Linked DNA regions of Solanum lycopersicum. The protein of the gene in region 1 interacts with the protein of each later gene in a pairwise test. Links are inferred from orthologs where the notes say so. Each region holds a gene or a part of one and is shown in the gene's direction. Other genes may lie near its edges.

Region 1 (5,746 bases):
ATAATAGGAATAAATCAAGCTACTTACTATTTATACACGATATAGAATATTCCCAGGATTCTGACACTCCTCAAGTTGGTGCATGCAAATTATATGTACCAAGCTGCTTAGATATATAACTTGTTCTAGGATTGGCTAGGGACTTGGTGAGTATATATGAAGCTGATCACTTATAGCAGGAACCTTCTGAGAGTAAGTACCTTTTCTCTAACAAAATGAGAATCAATCTGTATGTGTTTGGTCCTCTTGTGAAACACTAGATTCAATACAATGTGAACTGCAACTTCATTATTGCACACAAATTCCATCCCTTTTGTGTTTCCGATTTTCAACTCCTTCAGTAGTTGCTTGATCCATATAAGTTAATTTGTTGCCACTGCGATAGCCCGATATTATTGTGTACACTAGATATACGAACCACATTTTTTTAATTACTTTCCCAAGACACCAAATGTCCACAACTGGAACACAATATCCAAAAGTAGATAGTCTGTCAGAGGGTAAAGAGAGATGCCATCTATTTAATCACATACATTAACAACGATGTAAGGAGACACCATGCCATTCTCTTGACCAATGAAGGAGAGATCAAGTTCTCAAGTTGAAAGCTGCAGTTTTCAGTCTTATGAAGTAACAATATGATTTACTGAATAGCTATTTGAGGTAAATGTAGCTGTTTTCACTAATTGCTGTTTCAGACATTGAAATAGGTACCTTGTGGTATTAAATCACGTGGAAGTTGGCATTTGTCTGTGAATTATGTTTAGGCCTGTCATCGACTGGAGTAGATGAAACACAGTTTTTTTTCCCTTTCATGTGGATTTAAAAATGAGGCTTATTCTAGTGCATCAATGTTGAACTCAGTGTTTTGGGAAGCGAGAAGCGGAAAAAAGCGACGAGGGCTTGCTTCACAGAAGTGAGAAGCGGAAAAAAGCGACGAGGGCTTGTTTCGCAGAAGCGAGAAGCGTGATGCAAAGCGCGCTCTTTTTTTAAAAAAAGTGACATTTAGTATAAAAATAAAAAAAATATTAAATAACTAAATAGAGGTAATATAGTCTTAGATTGAAAGAAATTACATAAGATTGAAGAAATTACATAGGCAAAAATACTCATAAGTCATAACATATAAAGCAAAAAATCAAAAACGTAATTAAATCACAAAGATTCAAACTCCTATTCTTCAATAAGACTGCTAGACTGATCACAAAATTTAAAAAAAAAAAAAGCAAAAGAATTGAAAAGAAAAAACAGAGGAGGCAACAGTCAGTAATTAGAAACAGAGGAGGCAGCAGAGATGAAGAAAAGAAGAGAAGAAGAAAAAAAAACTAGAGTAGTCGAAACTCAGAGAGATGAAGAGATGAAGTACAGACGAAGATTGTATATTTCAGGAGAAAAGAAACTCATAGAGATGAACTAATAAACGTTAGCTAAAAAAGAGATGAACAAAAAGATACCTGCGGTCGAGGTTGAAGAGAGAGGCAGCCTCAGTCGAGATTGTCAGGAGAGAAAGAAGGGAAAGTATTGTGAAAGAAGAGTCGCGAGGAGAGAAAGAAGGGAAAGAGTCGTGAAAGAAGAGTCGTGAGGAGAGAGAAGGTTATTTTCAGATTATTTTTTTAAAAAAAACCTAATTGTCGCTTTTTTTTTTTATAAAAAGCGCGCTTTATTCCGCTTTTGCCTTAGGGTCGCTTCTCGCTTCTTCATCTGAAGCGAGAACTTTTTTCAGATCGCCTCGCCTCAAGATAAAAAAGCGCACAAGGGTCGCCTCGCTTTGAAGCGCGCTTTTCTGCGCTTTTCACAACACTGGTTGAACTGTTTTGAGTTTTGACACATCAGGTAGCTGCAGATTAGAGTTTCACGTGGGTGTTTTGCATTGTCTACAGAATTTGCGAGTCTACTGCAAATGTTAGTTGAACTCAAGTGACTACACAAGTTAACTACTTTTTCCCTTCCTGTTTGGTTGATGGGTGAATTTGTTTTAGTGAACATGTGATAACCTTGCTGAAGATCTTACCAAGTACAGCAGTCTTGTTTTTGCATCATTGTGAGAAATGATGATTCAGATGACATTCCTATGGCCACTTAATCTCTTTTTTATTTGGGGAAAAAAAATATGGCATTTGTATATGTTGGTTATTCCGCATCTTTAAGCAAAACATAAAGATTTAACTGCTTAAGACATCTATCTCTGCAACTTCAAATTTATTAAAGATCCACTATGAGAACTGAATTTATTTTACAATTGAAATCTGCATCAGAACTAACATGCATCTCAACAATTTTTTTGGTGAAATTGTTTTGTTATTCTAAAGAAGACCTAGCTACACGGGTGGCTTGCATGTTCTTTTCTAACCCGTCTGTTGACAATAATGCATTGAGCAATCTCACTCCCCAGTTTCCTCTTCTTGATTTATTTATTTACTTTCTCTGTGTATATCTGGAGAGAGGCAGGCTATATTTAGTAATAGAGCTCTTAGATTTACATCAATCTTGTTCTGTTATTTGTTAATTGTTCCAGAAACAGCTTTCTCTTTCTTTAACTGGTTCAATGAACTAAGCTTGTGGTCTTCCACAAATTGTCCAGTGTGCGGTAATACAACTCCCATCGCAGACACTGCTTCTGTCTGTTTCTGATAAAGCCTGCCGCTTGATTGGAATGCTTTTTCCTGGGGTAAGAAATGTTATGTACTCTTAGCATTATTTCATTGATGATCAATTTGACAATTTTTTTAGGAATGGTTTTACTGTGCATGAGCCTTCGGTGTAATGCTATTTTTGTGTCTTCAGGATATGGTGGTGTTTAAGCCACAGATACCAAGTCAACAGCAACAACAGCAGCAACAGCAGCAGCTGCAAGCACAACATCCACAGTTGCAGCAACAGCAGCAACAGCAGCAGCAGCATCTTACGCAACTACAACAGCAACCCCTTCAACAGCTGCAACAACAGCAACAGCAGCAACCTCTCATGCAACTGCAGCAACAACAGCAGATTCCGTTGCAACAATCACAGGTTCCCCAAATGCAGCAACAACAGATTCACCAAATGCAGCAGCAGCAGCAGATCCCGCAAATGCAGCAGCAGCAGCAGATTCCGCAAATGCAGCAGCAACAGCAGCAGCAACCAATGGTTGGAACAGGGATGAACCAAACCTACATGCAAGGTCCTGCAAGGTCACAGCTAATGTCTCAGAGTCAAGGTTCATCACAAGGACTGCCAATCATACCAGGAGGCGGGTTTATGAATTGAAAATGTCATAGAACTAGACAACCATTGTACAAATGTGAGACCAGGCAGTTGATTCCAAAAGTGTAGCCATGCATTTGGTGCATATCTTAACAATGGAATTTCGAAGTAATCAAATTCATTATAGACTCTAGCATAGAAATTACTTGTGCCCTTCAAATCAGGTTGGGGCGGCTGTAAAGGCAAAATAAAAGGGGAAGAGGGAGGAATTTTCTGGGCGTGGGCGTGAGAACATGACTGCATATTTGGTCACCAATCTATTTTCTTTTGATCTCAACATCAGTATTCTTTTTGGTTTTTTGTTCAACTATAGTTATTCACGTCATAGGTTCAACATTTCACTAGATTTCACCATCATATATGACTTACTAAAATGTGTTTCCCTTACATTATGCTTGCTAGGACTGAGTAACTTTTGCTGTGTAGGGACGCCTTGTACCATTCTTTTCTTCTTCATTTGCTAGCGCAAATTTCTCTAAACTCGACTATTGTTCTCAAATTCATTTTAGATTTTAACTCAAGATAACTCTATAACTCAATGCAAAGATCTCAGAAACTCTTCAATTCAACCCAATTAAAGAGAGACATTCAAATTCAAGAATACATAACAAGAATATCAACTTTCAAAAACTTTTAAAACGAATTTCACAGAATTAAACATGTTTGGCGCGTGGGTGAACGGACCCAATGCTTTGAAAGACTCACTTATCTTGTAGGATCAATTCTTTGGCAAAATCTACAGTCAATCGTTCTTGGCGAATCTTGTTTTTCCTATTCTCATTTTTCTTGTGATCTTTCTCGAAAAGCCTAACTCTATTTTTCAGAGTATGAAAGAAGTGAGAATATTTTCTTAGTGTCGCGGCCTCGTAATTGTAGATATGGTGCGCTTCACACCTGCTACCAACACTCCATTGACATGACCGACACTCAAAAATAATTGCTGGCCTCAAGTGAACCATTGTCCTGGCTTACTTACTCAGATAAAGACTCTATATATATTTATAATGATCAATAACACTATACTCGCTTGAATAATAAAATACTAAGAACGCTTAAAAATTCAAACATTCAACTTGGCCAAAATGGCAACTCAAGTCTTCACATATGGAATGATAGTGTAAAGACTATTGAACTGCTAACTATCTATAAAGCCTCTAAAACAAATAGGGATATTGGAACAGAACCGCCGATCATCCTAACAAATAAAAATTATAAAGTAATGAAAAAAGAGACCTTTAGAAGCAAGGAGGCTCACCAATTGACTTTGAGTGCTGAACCTAATCAACAAAGCGTTGGATGTTAATCTTGGTTACCTATGTCTGCATCATAATATGATGTAGGCTAACTGACATCAATACATTGAATGTATGAGTATGTGAGTTGGAATTCTAAACGATACATAAGCTTGAAAAGGATTCCAAAAGAAACACTTACATCGACTCTTCTCAACTCATGAATAACTTAACTCAAAATATAGCCTTGAAACACATGCAATATATGATGATATTTATAAAACAATAAAAGCAACTTAGTTTGTTAAAGACAATGCAATAAAAAACTCAACTTTACTCATAAAATAAAGTAATATAGTTTCTATGGGATATTTTCTAACAGATTACCATCACTATGAGCCTAAGGGGTGATACAACTTATTGCCCATACTGCCACAATTGTCTTATACTTTTCCGTCATATAGAACACTTAACTTAGTGGATGCACTAGCTTATGATTCTTTACTACCCATGATGGCTACATGGTTTATCGAGACTTGAGTTGCTATGAACTCGCATCCCCATATCGATGTTCAATACTACTTCCAATAGATTCATAGCTCATGTATTTGTAAAAACAAAACTCTTTCTTTGGTTTGAGATAATTACTAAAATCTTAGCTTAAAATCTCTCTTGGAATCAGTGTTCCCTTTCTTTCTCAAATGTGAAAACATTTTAAACTTCTCGGGTATACTTAGTTTCCATATACTTCTTTTGAGAAATGAACTTCAAAACTTTTTAGAACTTAAGTCTTAAAACAAAGTAACAACGTTTGTAAAAGATTTTTGAAAACTTTATTAACTTTTCTTGACTTGCTTCTTAACTTCTAAACTTTACTCTTAACTCTCCTTGAATTGAATTATGAATTCAAGGATTATGATTTGTGATAGGAAATATGTCATGATGTTAGGAGTGTTTTAAGATAGTTAAACATGAGAAAGTCACGAAATCACTATCTTAGAAAAAGTCTGCAATGCGGATATATTTATAAATAAATGATCGCAAAACTAAATTTAGAGATAGAGGAGCCCGCGTCCAAGCCGTGACGGGGAGCTACTTTTTGCTCACTGGACCTCGTACATGTTCCTTGTCCAACTTTTTTCTTCTTCGTTTTCCAGCCCAAATTTGCCTAAACTCGACTATTATTCTCAAATTCATTTTACAACCAATACCTAGCAAATTTACTCAAGAACCTAACTCAAAACAACTCTAAAACTCAACGCAAAAATCTC
Region 2 (4,218 bases), on another chromosome or scaffold:
TCATTATCAAGCCAAACAAATTACAACAAAAGAGTGTAAATTATTAATTTAAAACCGATAACCTTAAAAGGGATTAGAAGTCCAAAATCATACACTTCAAAAAATAAACATTGAAAATACATATAATCAATCCCAAACTCACTCAAACCAATACATAAATATGGTCACTCTAGTACATTTTCTTGAAAATTATAATTATCCCTTAATTATATTATATTCCCTTTATCTTATGAAACTAATAAGTTTTAGCTGAGGAGACAAATCTTCTTAAAGTAAGATCCAAGGAGATCATAAGAATCTTATCCAATTTCTTGATAAGGTGGGAGAATCAGTCTGTAAAATACGATAATTTGTTGAACTCGTTTAAATTTAAATGATTTAATAATCTACTCATTTATTAGGTTAATTGTTCAATCCTAATTCATTTCAGCTCATAAAATATTGAGTTGATATACTGTCCAAATAATTCATAAGAATATATATATATATATATATATATATATATATATATATATATATATATATATATATATATATATATATATATATATATATATATATATATATAAAATTAAAACTTAATAACTAATAAGAATTGAGGAAATTTGTAATGATACGTTTGTAGATCATTTCAGCCCAAGCTACTTTTGAGTGAGACACTATAACTCGCTAATATATTAGTTTGATCTATTTTAACGTCCAAATTCAGTTCAACCCGACCATTTGATACTAATTATAATATATATATTCTTGAACATTACATATTAGATATGTGTTTGGCTAATTATATTATATTATAGTACCACCTTACAATATTCTTGCAACCTCACTATCATGTTGATCAACAAAATCTATCTCCAAGAAAAAGTTCCAACCTAAAACACTGTATAGATATAAAGTTTTAGCAGTGAAAAGTAGCTTCAACTATTTATCTCTATCTTTTTTTCTTTGAATATATATAAGCATAGTAGTATACTAGATTTGGTAGAATAATTATCGAATTTTATTGACATTTTTTAAGAGACTTCCATGCAAAGAAAGTTCTTTTTTTCTAGATACCCATTATAAAACAACACAACATAAGTTTACAATTTAAATTATATACATACACTTTTAAGTATAAAAAAAAATCCTAATAATTTCTTGTTATAACATGTAAATGTGATTTGATGGTGTAAACACGTGATTAGTCACATGTGGCGTGATGGCATAAAAATGTGATTATTTACATAGTGTAGTAAGACAAAAAAAATAAATAAAGATTCATTGATTTCAACAATCTTATGAGTCACAATCTCTTTAGCTAGCTCTATATAAGTAGACATTGGCATGTCCAAAATTAATATGTCAATGTGGTGTGTGCCACCAAAAAAAAATCTCTCACATATAATAATCAACATGGATAGTAGTTCTTCTTCATCTTCTTCTAAAGGAAAAAAAGTGATACAATTAGAGAAAGAAAATAGCAAGGATAGTAATGATTTGATCAAATATCGAGGCGTTCGTAAACGTACGTGGGGTAAATTTGCAGCGGAGATACGTGACCCAACGAGACAAGGGGCTCGTCAATGGCTAGGGACGTTTGATACGGCCGAGGACGCGGCTAGGGCCTATGATAAGGCAGCATTTAACCTAAGGGGACATCTTGCAACTTTGAATTTTCCAAATGAGTACTACTCTAAGCTTAATGATCCACATTATTATAATTATCGTACATCATTAAATGTTAATATTCCAAGTAGAAGTTTAGAGAGGGGAATTTCATCAATTGGTCATCAAGACAAAGAGATTATTGAGTTTGAGTATCTTGATGATAGTGTTTTAGAGGAACTTCTTGGAGCAGAAGACCCAAAAAAGATCATAAGAAAGTGAGGTTAAGTTTTGTAATTTTTAAATTTTTAAGTTTAATATTTCTCGTGTGTCAGATGAACCTTTATATTATTGGAGGAAAGGAATAGCGATGAATTCCTATATAGAGTATATAGGAAAAAAGCTTCGAGTTTCTCCTCGTCTTCGTTTTCTTCTTATTCATCATCGTTGTCGTTTTTAATTTCCTTTTATAAACATATTTGTTATTAAGAACTTATTTTGTATAATGTTTGCCTTAAGAGCATGAATTTAAAGGGAATAATATGGTCAACGAAGAGTTGATATAAACAAACCTCACCTTGTTTGATACTAATTAGAAATAGTACTTGTTTTTTTGTTGTATTCAATACATATTCAATTGGAAAATGTTCATGTCGATTTACGTTGCGTATGACTCACTAAGACAGGAACTATACTCTCTAGAAGAAGTTTCGATCCTTATTCATAAGGCTTACTGGTGAAAGAACATGTAAATATTCTGTTATATTTTTTTATGATCGTCTATCTTTAATTTTTTTCTTTTGTTCATACCTTAATGGGTTACTTTGATTCCCAAATTTTATTTTATTTTTTGTTATGAAAAAATAATCTTTGTGACAACTATATAAATAGAGTGTTTGACCAATTGGATGCAAATATTGAATTTCCAATTTGAAAAAGCTTTGGGGCCGGAATTGAACTATATATTCCACTAATAATATTTGACTTATATTGGAATATTTATCAGAAATGGTCAAATATTTGACTTAGAATATTTAGGATTTGGTTTTAATATATGATAGAAGATGAAATAATATTTTAACTAATCAGATCAGAAAAAGAACTCTCGTATTAGACAAAGAAAGTAACAAAATGTGATATACTTGATCCTGGTACATAACAAATATAATTCAACATGTCACATTTTAGGTGAGACTATATGATACATTTAATTGTGATCAGATTAAAATGTACGTTTGTGGAAAATTATAATATTATCTTCACTGAAATTACAGTATTTATGTAATGCATTTGAAGTCAAACAAAGATTAATGACTATGATATATTTAATTTTGTGGCTAATCATCAATTATGTTGTGTGAGTTTTCTGATGACATTTTGTTGTTCAGATGTAGCTAATTTACTTATTTTTTGTATTTGTATAAGATTTTTTTTGATATATATAATGGTTAATCGTAATTAAGATGAATTATGAATTTGATGGCAAATTTAAAACAAATAAACTTTAATTAATATCATTATGGACATCATCTTGGGCGGTATTGCTTGTGTCGTTTCTAGTGTGTAATATCTATTTAAGTAAGAAAATCTTTCTAGTAAGATTTTTTCTGATTGTGTATTCACATATCGAACCTGATAGATTTTTTAATTTTTTCACATTAAAACATAGGCATATTTGTCAAACCTAAATATTGCGTTCATCTTTTTCTTTATCTCATATGTGTGATTGATTTTATGCCATTGACAGGTTATCTCAATAACAGCTACAAAAATCTCAACAAGAGTTGGGTCAATTTTTATTTTTTAACTAAAGATTTCGAATTTGAACTCTAAACATAAAATTTTCTTTGTTGGAAGAGGTTTTTCGATGCAAATTCAGATTTAGTTTACAGACTGAATAAAAAATAAAAAATTTATATTTAGTGAAATTAAAGAAGCTTAGCTTATGTATCAAAAAATCATGCTAAATATTCTGTAGGACTAGGCAAGAATAAGTGCTAATATAATTAAGGTAAATTTCAAAAAAGATGTTTCAACTCGATGTTAATTTGACAAAAATATGAAGGAAAAGTTTCCAGATTAAAGTGATTAAGACATTACCTCTTTATTTTTAACAATAATGCAGCAATTTGCTAAAACAATTATTCGAATATAAATGATTTTTTATGGACTAAAAACAAAAGAATATAAATTATTTTGTCTTACTGATGATTCTGAATCCTCTTTTAAGATCAGGTGCATGATATATATTAGATATATATTATTCTAATATGTTTAGAGGAATTTACCAATGTAGATAAATGTGCAGTAAAATTTTTGAATTAAAGTTCATGTTTATTAATAAGATGAGCATGCTTGTTAATTAATAATGATTAAATGTTAAAAAAACATATGTACAAATATATATCATGTATATATTGAATGAGTGTAAACATTTAGTGTTGCTAAAATTATTTTACCCTTTGGATACACTAATATATCATTAAATTATAGTTACTATACCTTTTCACCTAAATTTATGACTTAATCATGATAAATTAATAGGATTTAGCGAACATACCTAAGTTCTGAATTTTCAAACAATCAAAACATTACGGGCCAAAATGTAACACACACCTGGGCAACTTT

What was found. The genes of interacting proteins can lie anywhere in the genome.
Region 2: the proteins of mediator of RNA polymerase II transcription subunit 25 (region 1) and ethylene-responsive transcription factor ERF098-like interact in a two-hybrid assay, tested with the Arabidopsis thaliana proteins (2 studies listed by BioGRID). The link is inferred for Solanum lycopersicum from reciprocal best matches to the Arabidopsis thaliana genes PFT1 and TDR1.

The regions. Positions count from the first base shown.
Region 1 is NC_090811.1:29,961,378-29,967,123, reverse strand, and holds the end of mediator of RNA polymerase II transcription subunit 25, read left to right. Parts: intron 1-2,581; coding exon 2,582-2,668; intron 2,669-2,784; coding exon 2,785-3,246; 3' UTR 3,247-3,630; downstream 3,631-5,746. UniProt on the Arabidopsis thaliana protein: Component of the Mediator complex, a coactivator involved in the regulated transcription of nearly all RNA polymerase II-dependent genes.
Region 2 is NC_090802.1:1,254,886-1,259,103, reverse strand, and holds ethylene-responsive transcription factor ERF098-like, read left to right. Parts: upstream 1-1,159; 5' UTR 1,160-1,329; coding exon 1,330-1,872; 3' UTR 1,873-2,161; downstream 2,162-4,218.